Linked DNA regions of Yarrowia lipolytica. The protein of the gene in region 1 interacts with the protein of each later gene in a pairwise test. Links are inferred from orthologs where the notes say so. Each region holds a gene or a part of one and is shown on either strand. Other genes may lie near its edges. The genes, in order: YALI1_D24941g, YALI1_F08757g, YALI1_E08828g and YALI1_B15692g.

Region 1 (4,200 bases):
GACGTCCAGATGAAATTCATACTGCTCTATTTGGCTTTCTTCATGATCGTCTTATGAAATGCCATCATGGAGACTCTACAACATATACTTTGCCCCTGTGTTTAAATAACGGAGGTTGAGACGGTTATTTTGTGGCTTCTCTTTCAGATCAATGGTTTATCAACTTGGTACAACTACTCTACCCATATGGTACCCGTATGTACTAAAGGCACCTGTCTCGACATTTGCAACGGCCTAAAAGTAGAGGATTGAACACCGGGAGTTGTATTAGTCGGGGTGGAAGGTTGAAGTCTGAAGTGTGCAATATGTCGTCGTCTCCAGTTCAAACTGTGCCCATATATTCCCTCTAGTGATAGTCTGTAAGAATCAAATGTGTGTAGCCTGAATAATCTTGTAGGGTTATGAAGACTGATGTAGGAACAGAAGAATAACTACAGGAGAAATAGTTACAGCTACTTGTAGTATCATGAACAAACCTATCAGGAACGAACCTCCCCTGAACAACCTCCCTGTTTATGGCTTTTATGGCTTTTTATTTGGTCCTGACCATTCTACATATAAGCACGAGGAATATTTACATCACACTCCCTGTTACGACAAGACGTTGATATCGCATAGCAAGTGAGGAAGAGAAGCCCAGTGAAGTAAACTGCTGTATCTGAATGTGATAACGTCGTCTCGAAAAGTGACTGCAGTATGTACTTGTAGCTCAGAATTTTTATATATACAAGTACAAACTGTAGCAAGTGTATACTTGTGTAAGCTGAGAACACCTGGTTAAACAGTTGTTGCCAATAGTATATACAGCCTTAGGAAGTATTGATGTATTGATGTAAAAAAAAATAGAGTACAAGTACAAGTACTCCCACTTGTACTTGTACTTGTACAGTTGATTCATATATACTACAGATATCCCATCCAACAACTCGTTGATTACTCTATATACCCGTTCCACCTTCAAGATCAAATTGTTGTTCATATGTATGATTGATTAGATATAGTCAATGGAACGCCTTACAGCCCACTTCTGAGAACACCACGTCCGAGAGTAGCACAAACCAGAAGGGTGTGGGCTTGCTCATTCGTCAGAAAGAGATTCTGACAGACATCTCGTCAATTACCGTCAATTACCTTCAAACTTCAAAAGATGCTGTACCTCTTGAAATACTCCCGGAATCACAACTACCGTCCTCGTCTCCCCTCATCCCTCCAGATAAACAAATGCATATAGTATATACCTCCCGATAATTAAGCAAAGCTGACGCTCTTCTTCTTGGAATTTCCCTTGCCCTCCTCCTTCTTCTTGAGCTCCTCCATCTTCTTCTGCACTTTGTCAGCACTCTTGCCTCGGCTGGTCTTTTTGATTTCCTTCTTCTTCTGCTCGATCTCGGCCTCCTTCTCAGCCTCTCGCTTCTCAATCTCCTTTCGCTTCTGCTCTCGGATCATCTCCAGCTGACGGGCCTTTTCCAGCTTACTGGCGTTTCGAGAGTCAATCTTCTCGTTGACAATGCTAACTAACAGGTTCATTTGGTCGTTATCCACAAACTTCTTGCCCTTCTTGCCTCTCAGTGCCTTCTTGGCTCCCTCGGGATCGATGGCCGTGTTCAATTTGGGGATTCCCAGTTCCTTTTCTGTGTACACTCGGGCCTTCTTGACCTTGGGCTTGCCGTTGTCTTTGGGCTTGGCCACCCGGTTCTTGAACTTGCGGGGCTGCTCGTTGGCGTTGTCGTAGTTTTTCGAGGTGTGTGCGAGCTGGTTTCGAGCCTTTTTGTCGCCGAAAACCTCACTCTTGACCTCTCGCGCGCCGGCGTTCTCCTTTCGAAATCGTTTGGGGACCATGGCGTGTGTATGAGATGTATAGGTCTGGTGCTCTGGTCGAGAATCGAAATCTACGGCTCGTGCATGCACAATTTTTTTAAGGTTGGAATAATTTTATGAAGATAATGTATGTGGCGTGAAGAGTTTGTGTGTTCAATTCCGATAGATGCGATTAAAGAAATTTACTTTGTAATTATGTCAATTGGTAAACCAAGACCAATCTGCTAGTCTAGATACCAAGCGTAGACGGTATGGCAACCGCCCTCGATCCCCTTGACATACGCCCATCCTTCGTCCATCTCGAGATTCAACAGATTCACATTGACACCATTGACAGTCATCTTCAGCTGCTTACCGAGAATGAGAGGGACACAAATTTCGCCAATAGTCCCTGGAGTAGACTTTACTGCAATCTGGAGCAGGTTCTTCGAGTCCCGCTTCCACCCTCCAACGAGATACCCTGTCTTGGCCGAAGTAAACCCAGTAATGCAGAAATCCAAATCAGCCAGAGTAGGCTGAAGAGTCCAGGTCACGTGGTTGGGGTTGGTGAAGCGCAGTCCACAGATTTTGTAGCTGAGAAAGCTCGTGGGACCTGTAGACCAGGGGTGGCTGTGGCTGATGTAGCTGCTGTCATGCTTATCGGACGGATAAGAGCAGGTTCCGTCCTTATAGAAGCCCTCCACAAGACTGGATTTGACACTCCAGGGCGCAGACAGAGCGTAAGACCAGGTCTGGCGAATAAGAGCTAGTGCTCTAAGGGTTCTTCCAGCTTGGTGATGAGCCATAACCTCAATACCACTGATAAATGTGCTGATCATGCCGTTACTCTCAGGGTTGATAGGTCCAAATTGGTTCCAACGAGCAAAGAGCCTCTCAGAAACAGTCTTTGACCGTTCACCATCACACACCCCATAGTAAATTACCAGGCAGTTGCCATCTTGGGGGTAGAGTGTTGACGAGAGGTTATCTTTGAAGAGACCTTTCTCTGCGTCCCAGAGCAGCTCGTTGATACGCACGTGCAGACTCTCAGCGGTATTGATCCAGATAGCTAGTTGAGCTTCAGGCTCTCCCAAGAGGTTGCCAATCTCGACCGAGCACACTAAGCAGGCATAAAGAAGCACGTTCAAAGAAAGAGAATGACCCTGAAGTACAGACCGGCCCCAATCAAGACCACAAACAATCTTGGCCAGTCCGTAGTCAGAGTCGATCCAGCTCATACCCAGTTCCACTCCCTTTTTGAACGGAACCCATAATTCTCGCACTCGCTGGAAATCTCCACTGTGTTGCCACAGCTCATACAAGCCCAGTAACCCCCACAAGTGGAAGGTATCGGAGCCGTAAAGATCAGCAGGCTTGCAAGCGTAAGGAAGACGTCCATCAGGCTGTTGGCCCGCAAAAATCCAATCAATTGCAGTTGCGGTGGCAGCCGAATTGACACCTCCGAAAGCACAGTGGTAAACTGAAGTGCTAATGAGCCGATCACCAGACCAGACGCTACGGTCTCGCTTTGCACCGTCAGTAAGCACCTCCAGGCCCTGACTTACATGACCAGAATTGTCCCATCCACGAGATTTGACGACGTAGTCACTCTTGCGACCCTGGACTGACGATATGGTCGCAAGCTGGATAGTGTAAGCTCCAGCGTACCAAATTTTGTTCAGCAGAGGATCACTGGAGTGGAAAAACCCAGAGTATTTGTTGAGGGAGGCAGAAGAAGGCATCTGGGTCATTTTGCAAGACACAGATGTCACATGTGCAATGCAGTCACGGGTTTTGCTCGCTACAAACACTGTCAGGTATCTAAATGCTCCTCTCAGCTTCTCCACAGGCATTGTGTATTCGGAGATGCCTGGGTATACCTCGACAGTCACGTGGCCATCGGTGACCTTGAAGTCGACAGATTTGTCCGAGTTTCTGCCAACGAAATCGCTTGATTCGGAGAAGGCGAGTCCCAGAATTGTCTTTGAGCTTCTGGGTCCAAATTTGAGAGTGACGACGCCACAAATGTTTTGGCCGAAATCAAACGTGATGAGACTATCAGCGGAGGTAAAGAGACAGGAGCCAAGATTGGTGTCACGAGAGGAATTGTTTTTGGGACTGTGGAACGTGTGGAAGCTCTGGGGGGAGGGTTGATCGCGCGGTTGGCAGAGGGAAGGTGCTCCTGCTACAGTTCCCTCTGTTTTGTGGATTCTCACTGGGAAGGCTGTTCGGGTAGCTGGGGAGATGTTGTTTTGTTGCCAAGGTTGGTCCGAGGGTGTTGCTTGGAACACGAGCTCGGAGAAGGTCTTTGCTTTGTACATTGTCCTGGAGTCCGAGTGAATCAAGTGTCAATTGGATAGAAAAGGACCCTTAGGAGCGAGTAGTGTCGACGTGGCTTTCTTG
Region 2 (5,217 bases), on another chromosome or scaffold:
GACCTCGATCTCGGCGAGAGACGTCATGGCCGCAGGCCGCATGTCGACCTTGTCTGCGTCTGCGGGAGAGTCTTCCTTGTCATTGTCGTCGCCTTCGCCTTCCTCGTCGCCCTCGTCTTCCACCTCCTTTTCCTCGTCTTCGTCTTCGTCTTCGTCTTCGTCTTCGTCTTCATTCTCCTCCTTGTCCTTGTCCTCCTTGGTCACCTCCTCCTCTTTATCTTCCTCGTGTTCATTGTCGGAGGGCTCAGTCTGGTTGATGGGCGTAGGCATATCCTTGGTTTCGTTGGCGTCCTTATTGTCGACATCAGCCGTTTCTGATTCCTTGAGCCCCTCCTTGGCCTCGGCCTCCTTAGACTCATCCACAGCCTCTCCTTCCTTCTCAGAGATATGATTCACCTCAGGCTTGATGTCCTCAACAGGCACGGGCAAGGGAGGCGGTACTTCCTCGAGAGCCGAGGCAATGGCACTGGCAGTGATGAGCCCGGTGTCAGGACCCACATCTCCACCTTCTCCTTCTGCCTTGGCTGTGGTATCCACATCCATTCGGGCCGTTGTGTCTTCTTCTCCAATGTCATCATTTTCGTCGGTTTGACCATTAACTTTGGCCCGCTTAATATCTCTGTCATCCTCCTCATCGCGTTCACGCTTCATCTGCCGGATGTGGTCTTCCGACGACGATTCGCGCCGGCGCTTGAACGACTCTTCCTCTTCGTCGACCAGATCGTTGAGATAGAGCCGTTCGGTTTCGGCCTCGGAGTCCTCGAGTTCCGAGAGCTCGGACGAGTCGTCGCTGAGGTCCGCGGGGTTGAGCAGACTTGCTTTTCTGCCGTTGGACGTGGGCAGCGGCATGTCGTCTGTGGAGACAATGCTCGCGACCGTGGCAATACCCGAGTCGGCGTGCTCGGGATGCGTCACGGAGCCCTTGTCGCCCGCCGATTGTGTGTCTGTAGCTGTAGGTGGGGCTGTGGCCGTAGCCGTGGCCGAGGTTGCGGTTGCTCCTGTCGATGGAGACGGAGAAGAACGGGTCTTCTTGTCAGTTGGTGTGTGTGTGTCTCCGTTTGTGCCTGTGTCGTGGTCCTCTGCCACGTCATCCTTCAGCTCCTTGGCTTCGTCCTCATCGTGCTGCTGCAGGTCCAGCATGGCCTCGGAGTCGAGCTCGGATAGCGGAGACGTGACCATGTCGTCGTCGTTGGCGGTCATCAATTGGGTCGGTGTCGGGTTAGCGGCGTGCTCGCTTCCGGGTCTTGTAGAGAGCTAACACGTGACCTGTCGTTCTTTTCTCGGTCACCGTCGTCGCTCGGGTGTCGTGTGGTAGTGAGTGAGTGAGAAGAGAGAGAGTAGTGTAGTGGAGCTGCCGACTATGTTTTTTACTGTTGATAACAACGCAAGTCTTTTCCACCATGCACCAAACCCAGCTAAGTTTGGTGCGCATACAAGACGTGCGGAGAGGAGCACGTTATGGGAGAGAGAGTCGACAGAGGGCGAATAGTGCACATGCTGGGCCAACCAGGTTCCCAGAAGGGCTGTCTGGTGGTTCTGACAACTCGATTGACCGGCTTTTTGTCGTCTCCTCCCCTCTCATCACCACCGTATGGAGTCCCTGCAATCGTCTTCTTTTTTTTTCCCTTTTTTTCCTTCTTTTTTTCTCCCCTTAAAATACAACCATCATCCCCCGCCAAATCCACGCCCTACCTTGCTCCCATTTACACACACGATCATACCCAACCATGCCTCCCACCACATCCCAGGGGATAATCGACGTCAGATGATCGCCGGAAAGCCACCATGGACTCCAATCGACCGTCGCTCGTCGGTGTCGAAATTTGGCGCCGTTCCGTCCAGCCAATCTTCATATAATCGCCCCTCAGCCCCCCCTGGCAGCCGTGCCCCCACTGCCGTCGTATGTATGCAGAGCCACTCATTGGTTGACGGGACAGCGGCGCGTGTCAGAGGGTGGTGGAGAAGTGAGTCAGGACTGTGGTTAAGAAACGCGTCAAGGCTGAGGTTGTCGAAAGCTGGCACCGGAGGTTGATGATTGATGGCTTGGGTTGGATCGTGTTTAGAGGAGGAGATGCATAGGTTATGAGTATTGCTATTTGTGTCAGATTATGACCTCCTTGAGCCTTGCTAACGAATATAGTGGGGATACAACTGAGACGCCTGGGTCCCTTGGCCAAACTGGCGACCGGCTCTCTTTTATTCTAGCCGTAAATCGAGAGAGGGCTAGTTGTACTATTACACTGGACGCCTCCCACACAACCTTTATATGGTGTACATGTCTCATGCAAAGTTTGAATTTTTTTTGGCAAGAGTTTGAACAGAACAAGTGAGCTCAATCATTTGACCATCCAGCGACAATGACCACCACAAAAGACAACTCCGGACTCGCCGCGCTCTTTGCCAACTCCAGTGGTCCTCGTCAGAAGCCTCAGCGCGCTGGCAAGGTCGACCCGGTGCGTGACCAGCAAGAGGATAAGATGGAAGTAGAGGATGAAGAGGAGGATGAAGAGGAGGACGAAGAGGACGAAGAGGAGGATGAGGAGGATGAGGAGGATGAGGAGGAGAAGGAGGAGGACGACGACGACGACGACGACGAAGAGGAGATCGAAGAGCCTGTTATCAAGAAGAGCAAGAAGAACAAAAAGTCCAAGGAGGAGTCGGCCGACTTGGAGGATCAGTACATGGCCAAGTTGGCCGAGGAGGTGGCCGAGGAGAAGCCCATGGTCGCAGAGACCTCCGCGGAGGAAATCAAAGTCGATGAGCCCGAATCCGATTCTGAGGACGAACCCGAGCTGGACGTGGACGAAGAGACCAAGAAGAAGCTGGAGGCCACCAACAAGGAGCTGGACAAGGCCGACTACACCATTTTTGTCGGCAACGTGTCGTCCGAGGTGATCACCGACAAGACCGTGTACAACAACTTCAAGGCTCTGTTTGCGGCCATTGGAACCGTGGCGTCTGTGCGGTTCCGGTCCATCTCCTTCTCCAAGCTGCTTCCTCGAAAGGTGGCTTTCATTTCCCAGCAGTTCCACTCCAAGCGAGACACGGTCAACGCTTACATTGTGTTCAAGAACGTCAAGTCCGTCAAGGGCGCTCTGACGCTCAACGGCTCGGTTTTCAAGGGCTTCCACATGCGAGTCGACTCCGTGGCCCATCCCGGCGCCCAGGATCACAAGCGGTGCGTGTTTGTGGGAGCTCTGGACTTTGAGGAGCAGGAGGAATCCCTTTGGGAGGCCTTTTCGTCTTGCGGTGATGTGGAGTACGTGCGAATTGTGCGGGACCCCAAGACCAACGTTGGCAAGGGGTTTGCATACGTGCAGTTCAAGGACGTCAACTCGGTTGAGCAGGCTCTGCTGCTCAACGGTAAGGGCATCAACGAGCTCTCCAAGTCCACCACTAACAAGCGCAAGCTGCGTGTGTCGCGGGCCAAGAGCCAACACTCCCAGGAACGGGCCAAGCAGGCCGACATGAAGAACATTCGAAACGCAAAGACCGAAGGCCTGTCCCGAGACGAAAAGTCGCACTTTGGCCGGGCCCAGTCGCGGCTAGGCAAGGCCGGCAAGGCTCAGCTACAGTCCATTGTACAGGAGGGTCTGCGGGCTAAGAAAGAGGACGGCAAGGTCAACCTGGCCCGAAGCAAGCGACGAGGAGTCAAGCCCAACAAGAACCGAGTCGAGAAGCCTGGCCAGTCCAGAGCCGAGAAGCGAAAGGCCATGTTTGGAACCCCCACCAACGGCGCTCCCGGAGCTGGCGGCAAGAAGAAGCGTCTTACAACCCGATCCCAGAAGTTCAAGCAGGATGGAGGTGTCAAAAAGGACGGAGACGCCAAGAAGGATGGCCCCAAGAAGGAGAGGGATGGCTCCAAGAAGGGTTCCAAGAAGAACTAATTGGGTAGAGGTTGTATAGGTGAAAATAAATAGGCATTAGATTATTGTATTGTATTGGGGAGTAGGGTGGCAGTAGGGTAGCAGTTGAAGAGTTATATAAGAGTGTGGGGTTTACAGATGTGGTGATGGGGGAGTTTGTAATAGAATCACCATGTAATTCTCATCATAATGGTCATCTCTTCCAACAACACCATGAATCTCAGCTTGGATGCTAGAGGACGCAATAACGGGAGATGAAGAGTCGTCCGAGTACGGGCAGGTCCATGTTCAAGATTAGAAAGGTTTCTTTCCTGTTTCAGAGTCCTACTTTATCTCTCCCTCGAATTAACCACTACCTGGAACGTTGAGATTATCAAGTAATTGTCAAGTAAATTATCAACTACAAGGACATTATTGTTACTGGAAAAATCAGCATGAAAGCCACCCATATCCATGGTTCATACAAGTACAGTACTTTCATCGTATACGCCTCAAGAGATACCATAAATCACATGACTTCCACCGCCTGCCACCCTCCACGAAATCACGTGCCATATACCCCTTCCGTATATCCGATGTAACTGAATAACGGTATGTCCATGCTGTACTTGTACTGGTAGTCGAACTGTAGATCTTGTGGGTAAGATTTTGGTGGCGAACAAGACCATCACAATGAGACCAGAAAGAACCATTGACTGGGTACAAGTACAAATACAAGTATAAGTTCTTGGGGCGAGGCTCATCACGTGACACACCCGCGCTATATCATTCCCGTGTCACGTGACAACGCCGGGTTCCCGCAGCTCATCCGCTCCATCCGGGACCCACCTCAGGAGGAGTTTGTAATTTCCGGAGTTCGGAGTCCGTGCTTAAAAATAGCACGCTGTAAGATAACCGCGTGCATCCACACAGCCACAGTGCGAAGTGTGAGGATCAATCAGTCTGAAAAAAAAGGGGTTCAATGAATGTGAGAGCAATTTTAGAAGAGATTGGGGGGTCTTTTGGGGCTGTGAAATACAACTCCGCTTTTATTTGGCCCCCAAAATGGGACTAAACGGCCTCATCACGACCCTTCTCTTCTCCCCTTCCATATCACACGACTTGCACCGATAACGCAATCCCCACCCTTTGCAACCTAAAAAAAGAGTGCCGTGTAACCACAAAGGTCTCGCGTCTGTTGTTTATATATAGCGTAGGGTCCGACTTTGGCGACCACCAAATAGTTTGCCCTTCTTCTTTTTCTTCCTCTTCATATCATGGGCTCCTCTCCCTCCAAACAAGCCCAATCGGACGCGCAAAAGTCGCTAACCCGGCTGTCCAAGGTGTCTGAAAAGCACTTTTATCCTGACAC
Region 3 (7,148 bases), on another chromosome or scaffold:
GTGATGTACTTGCCAAGATTGATGCCCTGCAGGCACTTGGTACAGTTGGAGCCTGTTCCGTTGAAGATCTTCTGGGTCTCGAGGTAACCCCAGTCAACTAGGGCGTCGTTTCCAATGTTGGGAACTTGGACATGATGAGAGGAGGGGTTGTCGGCTCGCTTGACCAGCCCAGCAGCAGCCAGCAGGCTAGTAGAGAGCTGTAAGAGGTTAACCATGTGTGCGAGAAAGCGTTAAGAGGTAGATCTGAGCCATTGAATGAGGAATTTAGGCAACATTATAAAGGACATGGTGCTTTGCACTCTGTATGGGCACGTTTCTCAACCGTCCATGACATTGGTCTGGACAAAAAGAAAAGACGATACGACCCAAGAACTCAAGGTTCCCGTTGGCTCAAATGAAATTGATATTCACGACAGAGCTCAAGCGAGATGATTAGAGACATTGTAGATGATGGGGGGGTCTGAATGGGCGTCACTGCTATGGTTAAAAGACTGACTAATGTGTGATCCAACATTCTATTGTGATACCGCATATATCACCACCGTAGACACCTAGCATTTGCTGCTAAAGCTCTGAGATTACCAGGTCTAGCGAGAGCTTAGTTGCACGTGGAAAATTTAATGATGAACGCTCTTCGCGTGATCGTCTCAAATACTGCCATCCCAGGCACGGTGCATGGATGATGCGAGATTAGGTTCGCGAGAAGTTTAGTTTTGCTGACACGTTTAAACAAAGGGCCAACAAGTGTTTACTTAGAATTATAACTAATTAACAAACAAGCCATTGGCTTAAGTATTATTTAACATTCATTTGCTGAGGGATGTTCAATGAAGAACAGCGAGAACAAGAGAAGCTCCAAGCGACAGCTCAGAAGAGACAGACCAGGGGCTTCGTTAACGAGAGCTGAGACATTAACATCCTCAACAGACAAGTACGTTGGGTAAAGAAACATAAGGCCATTGGTACTGTGCCGTCCTTGGAAATGGTAGACAAGATTCCAGAGTCCTTGAGGCAAGAAAAGCCACCACCGAAGGACTCTGAGTCTGTTTCAAAGTTTGAAAACCAGTCATGTCAAACTACCAGGAGCCTTCAGCAGCCTTGGGTTCAACCTCCAATCTGAGGGATACAGTCGTGAGCGCCAGAGATTGGACTATGAAAATGTGGAGCATCAAGCAGAAAATGCACTCGTGTGCTAAAGAGAAGAAGAAGCATCCACACTCACATTCTCTGACACAAAGTGATACATACATTCGTTCTGGAGAGAGAGTGAGGGTGTGGAAGCTTCCTGAAAAGGATAGGCATGTAGAATACAGCAGTGCCTGTGCACATTTTGCGGGCTGTAAGAATTCTCTCAGAGCAACTGACATCCATGGAGATACCCTTGTGCGGATTCTTGTACAACAGTGCGTGTAGGGATCCTGACTAACCCGGAGAGTGCCAATATGTGCTTGAAGGACATTAAAAGCGTGCGTACGATGTTGCTCATGTCCTCATTACTGTAGAGGTGTATGTTACTCGGGGTTTCCTTATGGGGTTATTCAGAAGTGGAACTTGGACTCTGGCACTTGTTTGTCAGTGCTGGAAGGCTGTAAGCGCATGGTTAATCTGCTGTGTCACGACGAATCCCTGGGTTCGGCATCAATTCATTTCAAAACTGGTGTTTAGAATCCAGGAATCTGGAGAGCTTGTCTACATCAGAGTCCATGGAATATCGTGCATTAGATAACATTAGATTAGTTCCCGTGGAAGAAGTATTCAGTGGTCCTCCGCAGAGGAACTGTCTCGGTCAATTTGGGCAAGGAAGTAGTTTCTCAGCCACTTGTTGTAGTGTCCAACGTCAACGCGGAATATGATAGGCTGTTTGTCGGTATCATAACGAGTCTGATTTATTTAATCGACTGTTACTCAACTATAGGGTTGAATTGAAGATCATGGGTGTTGATGAATTGAAAATGACTTCATGAGAACATGAGCACAGGAGCGTCTGAATGAACAGAAGAGGTCGGACTCCTCAGCACAAGATACAACACAGCACGCACCTGGAGGGACACAGCATATGGTCTCCTTTAATGGATTGACCCCAACACTGTTACACTGGACTTGTCGAAAGAACATTGCTTAACCACATCTCGTGTCTTGCCACTATTTTTCGAAATCGTGTACAGTGAACTTCTTATTTGGTGGCTCTGTGCGTGGGTATGAAGAGATTGTATATAAATATATCAACATTTAATTTGTATAATATAATTTTGTATAATATAATTTTATTATAATATATTGTATAATATTTGCAGTATATTCGATAATATTGGACTGTAATTGTGACTTGTACAGAGGCATGTCCCCTTACAGCAGAAGTTCACCCCCAACACTCCCATTGCAGTGTCAATCTAGAATTTGACATTTTCTATTTCTTTTTTAAAAAAAGGAATAGCCGAGAATCGAAGTGAGTGACACCGCAACCATAATGCCACAGTGGAGACACGATATTGGAATGCCAACAAGTTAAGACTACTACAAATGTAATATACACCAGAATACCATCTCGTATTACCCCAGAAATCTCCCCAAACAGCCCACACCACTATCCACCTCTTCTCCCACCAACCTGATAAACTCGCAGTGCATCAACTCTAATATTTTTTTCAAGTCTTCTGCAAAGTGACAATTGCAGTTGCACGCACCATCTACAAATGTCCGAACTCGACCATACGGAACCGCTGGAGGACAAGCTGGACCGGATCCGCGTCCATGTCAACTCCAAGCTGGCCAACCAGAAACAGTTGGCCATTATTTTGGGAGCCGTGGAGGAGAATCTCGAGGAGGAAAAGACCGAGAAGACCGCCACCTCCTACTTCATTTCTTTCCTTGCTCTGCTAGAGCAATCGTTCAGCCGCCAGGCCCCCGATCAGCTCGAGAATACCGATCTAGCCGCCTCGGCTCTCTATTTCCTCGACCTTGTGTCTCCCTTCGCCAGCGAATCTCTTCTGCGGGCCAAGTTTTCGCAGATTTTCGTCAAGCTCGCACCCGTGTTGGGCTCGTCCGATTCCGAGTCTGCGCTACTCAGATCCGCCATTGGCACTCTGCAGCATCTGCTGCTGGCCCAGGATGCTGCCTCGTGGCAGACCCCTGCTTCTGAGCTGTCTCCCCGACGAGGAGTGGTTGGTCTGATGCATCTGGCCGTCAATCCCCGTCCCAAGATCAGAAAGCGAGCTCTGGACGCACTTGCCAAGATCCTCGAGACCCGAGTATCTCCAGTGCTCGTCGAGCATCCTGCTGCCGCAACCTGTGCCGACACAGCCCTGAAGGCCGTCAAGCAGTACCTGGAGAACCACAAGAAGGAGGATACCGTGGATGCCGGCTTCATGCATGCGCTGGCTCTGGTGAAAACCATCTGTGGCGTTGGAATGTGGCCTATGTCGCAGTTTGACGAACTCTGTCAGCTGCTGCTGTCTATTTCCAAGACTACCAACCAGATGCTGATCCAGGCTACCTTTGGCATCTTTGAGGGTGTCTTTCGTCACTTTGCCAAGTCTGAAGAGGACGAGAACAACAAGACACGAAAATTGCTGGTTATTCTCGATGCTGTGATCGACCAGGCTCCCGCCACCAACGACCAGCATCTTGCTCCTGCCTGGTTTGCTGTTGTTGCCCAGGGAGTGGGTGCTCTTGGAGAGGTCAACCCTGATAAGGGACTGGCCAAGACCCCCGTGGTTTTCCAGAAGGTATGTGCCTATCTCGACTCTGAGGCCGACAGTGTGCGAACCTCTGCTTCCCAGTGTCTCGTTGCTCTGTGTTCTTCCATCAACCAAAAGTCGCTTCAGAACGGCGACAAGTGGCTGTCCAAGCTCGCGGAGATGGCCACGATGCTTCTGTCCGTCCAGACCCGGGCTTCTCTCGTCGACTCTACGAACGTTGTGGCAGCTCTACTCGACACTCTCAGATGGAAGTCCGACCCCTTCCTTGTGGAGGCTGTGACAATTATTGGAGGTCTCCGAACTGAGGAGTCCTTCGTTAACGGCATTCCTGCTCTCGACAACGCTCTTGGGTCCGCTATTCGTGCCATGGGACCTGCCAAAGTGCTAGAACTGCTCCCCCTCAACCTTTCAAACCCCTCTTCTGACAACCCCGGACGAGCCTGGATGCTCCCTCTACTGAGAGACAACATTCACAATTCAGAGATTGCCTTTTTTAAGAGCGAGTTCTTGCCACTGATCGAGTATTTTGACGACAAGATCTCGACTACCAAGGGCGCCACCGCAAAGGTCTTCGAGGCTCTGCTGGCCCAGGTCTGGTCCGTTCTGCCCCGTTTCTGCGCTCTGCCCATGGATCTCCAGCAGTCGTTTGACCAGTCTTTTGCCGAGCTGCTCTCCAACAAGCTCTATTCCAACATTGAGATCCGACCTGTTATCTGCCAGTCGCTGCGTCTGCTTGTCGAGAGCAATGTGGTGTACGCCGAGGAGCCCGAGGCTGCTGAGTCCGAGGATGTGAACGACGACCTGCTGCTTCTGGAGCGATTCCCCCGATCCGAGGCCGAGTCTAACGTTGCCTACCTCGGAACCGTGTCTTCCAAGATTCTTGCGGTGCTCTTCAACGTGTACGGACAAACTATTCCCGAGTCTCGAGGCTTCATTCTCGAGTGCATCAACGCCTACCTCGGCATCACCCCCGCCGGCGAAATTGGCGACATCTTCGATAACGTGTGTGGAATGCTTCACAAGGCTCTGGAGGATGAGGCCAAGGAGTCTAAGCCTGAGAAGGACGCCCTGCCAGCAATGTCGCTCACCATGCTTGACATTCTCATCGCCCTCGTGCCTTACATCCCTGCCTCTTCTCACAACACTCTGCTGACCGTCTTTGTGCAGATGATCCAGAACTCCGACCCCAACCACCAAAAGAAGGGCTACCGTCTTTTGACCCGTCTGGCCGAGGCCGACAACAGCTTCGAGACTCTGGAGAAGCATCTTGACAACATCTGTGGTGTTGTTCTCGAGTCTGCTGAGTCTGTCACTGCTGTGTCTCGAGGCGCTCGAGTGGCCGCTCTGGCGAAGCTGGTGGCTCTGCTGCCCGAGAACGATCTGTATTTCATCCCCGCTACCGTCTCTGAAGCCGTCATTGCCACCAAGGACGTCAACGAGAAGACCCGAACGTCCGCTTACAACTTACTGGTTCTCATGGGCGAAAAGATGGCTCGAGGAGGAGTAATTGACAACACTCGAATCCCCGGTCTCGAGGATGCCGGTCTGGGATCCGTCAACGCCAACCTGACTGAGTTCTTCAAGGCCGTGTCTGCTGGTCTGGCAGGAACCTCACCCAACCTGGTGTCTGCCACCATCACGGGTCTGTCCCGAATCTTGTTCGAGTTCAAGGACGACGTGCCCATGGATATGCTCAGCGAGCTGTCTCAAACCGTTGAGCTGTTCCTGACCTCGCAGAACAGAGAGATCGTCAAGTCGACTCTTGGTTTCGTCAAGATTACGGCCATCTCTCTCCCCATCGATCTCGTGGAGCCCCAGCTCAGCGAGCTTCTCCCAAAGCTGCTGCACTGGTCCCACGAACATAAGGGCCATTTCAAGGCCAAGGTCAAGCACATTGTCGAGCGTCTGATCCGACGGTTCGGCTTCGACACCATTGAAAAGCATTTCCCCGAGGCCGACAAGAAGCTGCTGACCAACATCCGAAAGTCTAAGGAGCGATCCAAGCGAAAGCGAACCGAGGAGAAGGAGGAAGATGCTCCCATGTCGTCTACCAAGCCCAAGAAGGAGTTTGCCTCTGAGTACGAGCGAGCTCTGTACGGAGACTCGGATTCTGAAGACGAGGATGACTATGAGGAGGAGGAGACCACCAAGCGGGCCTCCAAGTACATTATGAAGTCCGACGACCCTCTGGATCTGCTGTCGCAGCAGGCTCTGGCTCACATCACTTCTTCCAAGCCTAGAGGAAAGAAGGAGCCTCTTCTCAAATCGTCCAAGTTCAAGACTAATGAGTCCGGTAAGATGATCTTTAAGGAGGATGAGGAGGAGGACGTGATTCCCCAGGGCTCGGCCATCGACCATTACGTTGAGGCCATCAAGAACGGACCTGTGCGAGGACAGAAGAACAAGTACAAGTATAAGAAGTCAAAGGGAGGAGATGACGACGGAGGAGATGATGACGACGTGGTGCCCAAGCGACCCACCAAAAAGTTTTCTCGAGGTGGCGTGAGCAAACCCAAGGGCAAACCTCAGCAGCGACGAAAGTTTTAATTGAATTGTATTATTGAATGGTTATGAATATATACGGAGATGGTGTACAATATGTAGTGTAGAAGGACTGGGAACTTGACGTAGACATGGTCTGGAAACTTACTGAGAAGCTGATTCCTACACCTGTCGGGGGAGATATTCGTAAAGCCTCGAGGCATACAAAAGTATCGGTACTGTACAGTACATCAAATACCAGTAGTGTGCACACAGAACTTATCGATCCGTTTGCACAGGCACTGCAAGAAGTCGATTTTTTTTTTATTCTAATGATTCGTGTGTATCGTTATTGAGTCTTTGCGACATCGGGGAGTTGAAGTTTGGAGTAGGGGTATGGTTGTTATGTTTTTGAGGTTTTTTTTTTTTTTAGTTTAGTTTTTTTTTTTTTTTTTCTAATGATTTCTTCGTTTTTTCAGAAGTTTTGAAACTACACAGAACCACCCACCTACATCTCAATAAAAAACTTGGGCGTCTGGTGTAAGGACCAAAGTCGCTTATAAGGGCTTGGGGACGGTGCCGGGTCACGTCAAGGGTGACTGTTTTCCCCCCTGGGACGCACCCGGGGGGGAGTATATAAGAAGACATTTATGTATGATTAAAAAAGTGATCACCACCTGTGAACGTATACAGACAGCGAGCAACGGTTAGATTAAGACAGCGGACAATCTACCGACTGAGAATATTCCGCAGATAAGAGACGATCGGAATCTTATATCTGGTGTAGTTGGTTATCACATGCGCTTTAGCATGGCGCGAGGTCCCCGGTTCGATTCCGGTGTCGTCCACTCCTTTTGTGATCACAATGATCTGGTATTTTTTTTTCTACCTACCCATGGCTGTATCAAGTCCTCATATTGGCAAGTCACCACAGATCATATTTTTTTATATCGTAGATAAGGTTGCATA
Region 4 (4,214 bases), on another chromosome or scaffold:
CATTTGAACCTTTGCGCTTCTCAAAAGAAGGCAGTTTAGGAATCAAGATGCGAGAAAGGATTTGGGAAGCATGCTCGGAAGATGAGAGACCTGTTTCAGGAGAGATCTTTGCGACAGCAATTTTCTCTTTAGAAACAGTTTTAGAGATAGCGGTTGTGGCAGCTGGCTTCTCACAAGGACCGTTACCTATAGATGATGACAGTGTATGCGATGTAGCAGCGTCAGTAGCAACATCAACTGGAGGTGCAAATACATCAACAGTAGAAGGCACTTCACCGGAGGACACTTCTGACATCGAGTTTACAGATACCCCTTCTGTGACCCGACTCACGACATCTTCCAACCCCTCATCCCCTCCACTACCCAACTCAATCACACCCTTTTCCTTCTTCACCTCCACAGATTGTCTTACACTCCCTAGCTCAGTGAGGGCAGCCTTGAGACCCGTAATCCTAGCCATCAGACCCTCAAACTCATCTTCGAATTTCTTCTCTTCCTCCTTGATCTGTTCATTCAATCGCTTGTCTAAGTCTTCGAAGTCCTTCAATTTGGCTTGAAGACCGTCAAGGAGGCTGTGAGCACTCTTGATCTCATTAACAACTTCGTTCTTCTCGTCTCTAAGAGGTTTCAATCGTATGTCGAGCTCTCTCCTCTGGGTCGACAGCTGCTGTTTGTGTTCTTCCAGCTCTTTTTCGAGAAACCCGAGAGCAATGTTTCGTGTTGACGTGACAGGTCGAGTGGCCATTCGATTGTCTCAATGATGTATCTGTTGTATCTAGGTTGTATATGTGAGTCTGGTCGTATTGGCGGACGTTTATATATTAAATGGTGGCACGGCCTAAGTGCCTCTGCTTTATTTACAGTGTGCCTTTTGTGTCTTTATCTTACGCTTGTTCGACGGTTAGTTACGCACACATGTCGATGTATCGTAAACACGACTTCTCAAGTGACATGTATGGATGTACTGTAGTGAGGATATACGATGCAGCAACATCAATTGTGAGTCTTCATATCTGACGAGTCTTCCCTGTATCTACCATTCTAGCTGTAACACTCCACAGAACAATACAGCCATTCCCAGTACCAGTAACAAGCCATATAGCCAAAGCTGCTACAAGTAAGAGTTGGTACTCCTCTACTGTCTATCAATCAAATTCATCATATCTATTAATGTACCTTTTCCTAGTCGGTCCGTACAGCCAGTCGACTCTATTATCAGTATCCTTCGCTCGAGCTATGCTGCTGCTCTCTAATACCCGCTCAATCTTGCACTTCTAGCCATTGGCTTACTTGAAAATCACAGAGTCAGCGAGAGGGTCAGCAGCAATAACAGCATCTCTGACCTTGACCTTTCGCTTGAAGGCAGCCTCGGCTCGGCTGGCGGCCTGCTCAGCGGCCTGCTGCTTCATCTGCGATCGGACAGTGTTAGGGGACACATACTGCTTGTTCTCGAAAATTACGGGGCCTCCAAAAGAGCCCTCAAGCATGGTGATGAGAGTCATGACAAATCGGGGACCAATCTCAACCAGAGAAATGTCGGTCTCTCGGGGGTTTTCTTCGTTGACAGTCTCCTGGATCTGGTAGTTTCGGAACCAGACCTTGTTGTCCACCAGCGAAAAGGTGAAGACGTGGTCGAAGAAGGGCTTGGACTTTCTGGCACCCTTGGGGACACCAAAGGTCTGCGTCAGCATCTCCTTGATCACGGCATTGTGAGGGGTGTCGTCAAAGCTGCTGTCGAAGGACAGAATAGGTCGAGATCCTCGCAGACAGTTGCCGGTGAAGTTGAGCTCGTCCATGGTATGCAGGTTCTGGATGTGGAACTTGGCGGTGGGACCGTTGGGAGCCTTGGCCATCCACATGTACAGATCCATATGCTTTCGGGCCTCAAAGTACAGAATGTTGTTGCAGTTGTACATCTCAGCAATCTCGTTGAGTTGGTACAACTTGGACTTGGTGTCGAGCTTGGACTCCTTTCGACCATGGGGAAGCATGGTCTGGAGATCGCTGATGAGATGTCTTTGTCGGAAGGTCACTCCTCGAGAAGTGATGATCAGCACTCGCTGCTTGTTGGTCACTCCATCGTCCTTCTTCTCGGTCTTCTCGGGCTTAGAGCTCTCGCCGCTCAAGGTCTTGTATAGTGTCGACATTGTGTGTGTAGTGTGTGTGTTGTGTGTGTGATGCTATACTGATTGGGATTTTATTTTCACGATTCATGCAGAAATATTTTTTAGGGTTAAACTCAAAATCCTTGAAGTGTGTCTTGAAACTTGGTGATGAATCCTTCATTTTGGTACAAGGGTAGATTTTGAATATATGCAAGAAAAAGACTTCTATTCTTTTGTAAGCTGGTCTTTCATTGGCTATACTTCAATTATTCAACTTTAGCGCTCATTTTGCCACCTGGAGGTGTGCAATTGTGCTGAATTTGAAAGCACAGCAGTCAGCATGTATGTTAGCTACAGTTATCAAAAGAACTGAACATTTACTCTACAAGTACAAGTTCAAGTATTTGTAACTACAAATTTTGATTAAAATCATGAGATGATTCAGCAACAAGCATCCCTGGTCAATTGCACAAACGAAGCGCTCTTTTCATCCATCATACCCAATGTCTGCGCAGCGTGCTCGCTCAAATTTCAAGACTCATATCGAGTCTAGTCGGAACACCAGAGTTGGGTTGGGGACGATGTATGTCCAGGTACCCTGCTCATACAAGTACAGTATATCCTAGGTGCAAAAAAAGAAGGTATTTGTCTTATATACCGGTACTAGCACATGTGAATCTATGTTTAGTCTCAAGTATATTCATTAACATGCCCTCAATCGTTTCTGTTTACTTTCAGATACTCCTTTGGTGCCTATGGTTCCACAGAATCCACAATGATACTGTAGAAGGGGACTACGTGAAGTAGAATAAAACCAGCTTTTCTGGAAACTTGTCTGTTCTATCACCTGTTGGTCATGTCAGTTTCCGCGTTCTTCACACCCACCCCCCTAATAATACAACACAATAAAATCATTGAAACAAGAGCGATGCGACCCTCAGTCCAGCAAACCACTCTGGAAATATTGAGAAACAAAAGACCTACAGTAATACAATTGTGGCATCTATAGAATAGGAAATTTAATATGTGCAACTGTCCATTCTCTCGACCTGTACTTCTACACGATTGTCAAAAGATATTATCATAGTCTACAGTAATTTATACAGATTGAAAGAGGGTCATTCAAATATGGAAGCTGGTGGTCAAAGATCATCCCCAGTCACTCTCTTCTACCTTCTAAAAGATGGTGGAACCGTTGGCAAGACCTCCGTAGAGCCAAGTACCTTCAAACTTGCGCCCTCTCTCCAGATCTCGACGTCCAATATTGAGAGTGCATAAAGAGATCCAGTCAAAGTAGGCCAGGTGGTTCTTGACAATGTCTAACCGAGCAAGAGCGTTAAAGTCCTTTCTGTAACAGCTCATACTCTCGGGACCGGCACAAGAGAAGACCTTGTTCAGAGGAGGCTGGACAGTGAAGTAATCAATGTAGATTTCTCCCACAGAGTGGACATAGTCCTTGAAAGCGGGGAATCCTACAAACAGATCGTTCCAGTGAGTCAGTCGGAAGTAACGTCTATCAGAATCCATGCTGAGACCATCTCCTTCGCCAAACCACTGCTTGGAGACAAAATTGGCAAAGTTGGCGTTTCCAATACGAGGCTGACCATAGGTGTAAAGATAGGGATCCTGACCGTTCACCTTGAGACTTGTAGCAGAAAGTACCGCAATAGCAGCACCCAGAGAATGACCAGTAACAACCAATCGATAGTCAGGGTTGCTGTTAACGTGATCAGCCAGCTTGTCTCCAATAATGCCCATGGTCTCATTGTAAGCCTTGTTCCAGCCGTCGTGAATAGTGCATCCCTCGCAGAGGTTTGCAGTCGATCCTAGGGCAGAAGGAGTGACGAGAAAGGGGCTTTGGGACAGTTGGATGTCGGTGTAGACGTCTCCGATGTCGTAGGTTCCTCGGTAAACCACATACTTCTCTTTCTTGACATGGTCAATAGAAAGAAATCCGGTGATGGAGGTTTCGAAAAACTCACCTCCAAACACTTCGACCAGCTCCATGTTAGGAAAGTGAGAGCATGCTACTCCGCAAGAGAAGTCAGATTTCAAAGACTCCAATGGAGTATTGATACAGTAGGCAACATTGGAGAGGTGGGAGAAAGT

The links.
Region 2: the proteins of YALI1_D24941g (region 1) and YALI1_F08757g interact in binary tests that used the Saccharomyces cerevisiae proteins (3 or more experiments, as listed by UniProt). The link is inferred for Yarrowia lipolytica from reciprocal best matches to the Saccharomyces cerevisiae genes LOC1 and NOP12.
Region 3: the proteins of YALI1_D24941g (region 1) and YALI1_E08828g interact in binary tests that used the Saccharomyces cerevisiae proteins (3 or more experiments, as listed by UniProt). The link is inferred for Yarrowia lipolytica from reciprocal best matches to the Saccharomyces cerevisiae genes LOC1 and RRP12.
Region 4: the proteins of YALI1_D24941g (region 1) and YALI1_B15692g interact in binary tests that used the Saccharomyces cerevisiae proteins (3 or more experiments, as listed by UniProt). The link is inferred for Yarrowia lipolytica from reciprocal best matches to the Saccharomyces cerevisiae genes LOC1 and BRX1.

The regions. Positions count from the first base shown.
Region 1 is NC_090773.1:2,491,722-2,495,921, reverse strand, and holds YALI1_D24941g (uncharacterized protein), read right to left. Parts: upstream 1,840-4,200; coding exon 1,249-1,839; downstream 1-1,248. Other genes in the region: YALI1_D24918g (uncharacterized protein), read right to left, coding at 2,043-4,118. UniProt on the Saccharomyces cerevisiae protein: Required for efficient assembly and nuclear export of the 60S ribosomal subunit. Involved in asymmetric localization of ASH1 mRNA.
Region 2 is NC_090775.1:873,350-878,566, forward strand, and holds YALI1_F08757g (uncharacterized protein), read left to right. Parts: upstream 1-2,357; coding exon 2,358-3,887; downstream 3,888-5,217. Other genes in the region: YALI1_F08745g (uncharacterized protein), read right to left, coding at 1-1,200; YALI1_F08784g (uncharacterized protein), read left to right, coding at 5,123-5,217.
Region 3 is NC_090774.1:878,416-885,563, reverse strand, and holds YALI1_E08828g (uncharacterized protein), read left to right. Parts: upstream 1-2,693; coding exon 2,694-6,245; downstream 6,246-7,148. Other genes in the region: YALI1_E08853g (uncharacterized protein), read right to left, coding at 1-215. UniProt on the Saccharomyces cerevisiae protein: In association with GSP1, required for nuclear export of both pre-40S and pre-60S ribosomal subunits. Required for the late maturation of the 18S and 5.8S rRNA of the pre-40S ribosomes and for maturation of the 25S and 5.8S rRNA of the pre-60S ribosomes.
Region 4 is NC_090771.1:1,567,190-1,571,403, reverse strand, and holds YALI1_B15692g (ribosome biogenesis protein BRX1), read right to left. Parts: upstream 2,148-4,214; coding exon 1,287-2,147; downstream 1-1,286. Other genes in the region: YALI1_B15706g (uncharacterized protein), read right to left, coding at 1-745; YALI1_B15703g (uncharacterized protein), read left to right, coding at 922-1,003, 1,046-1,278; YALI1_B15670g (uncharacterized protein), read right to left, coding at 3,282-4,214. UniProt on the Saccharomyces cerevisiae protein: Required for biogenesis of the 60S ribosomal subunit.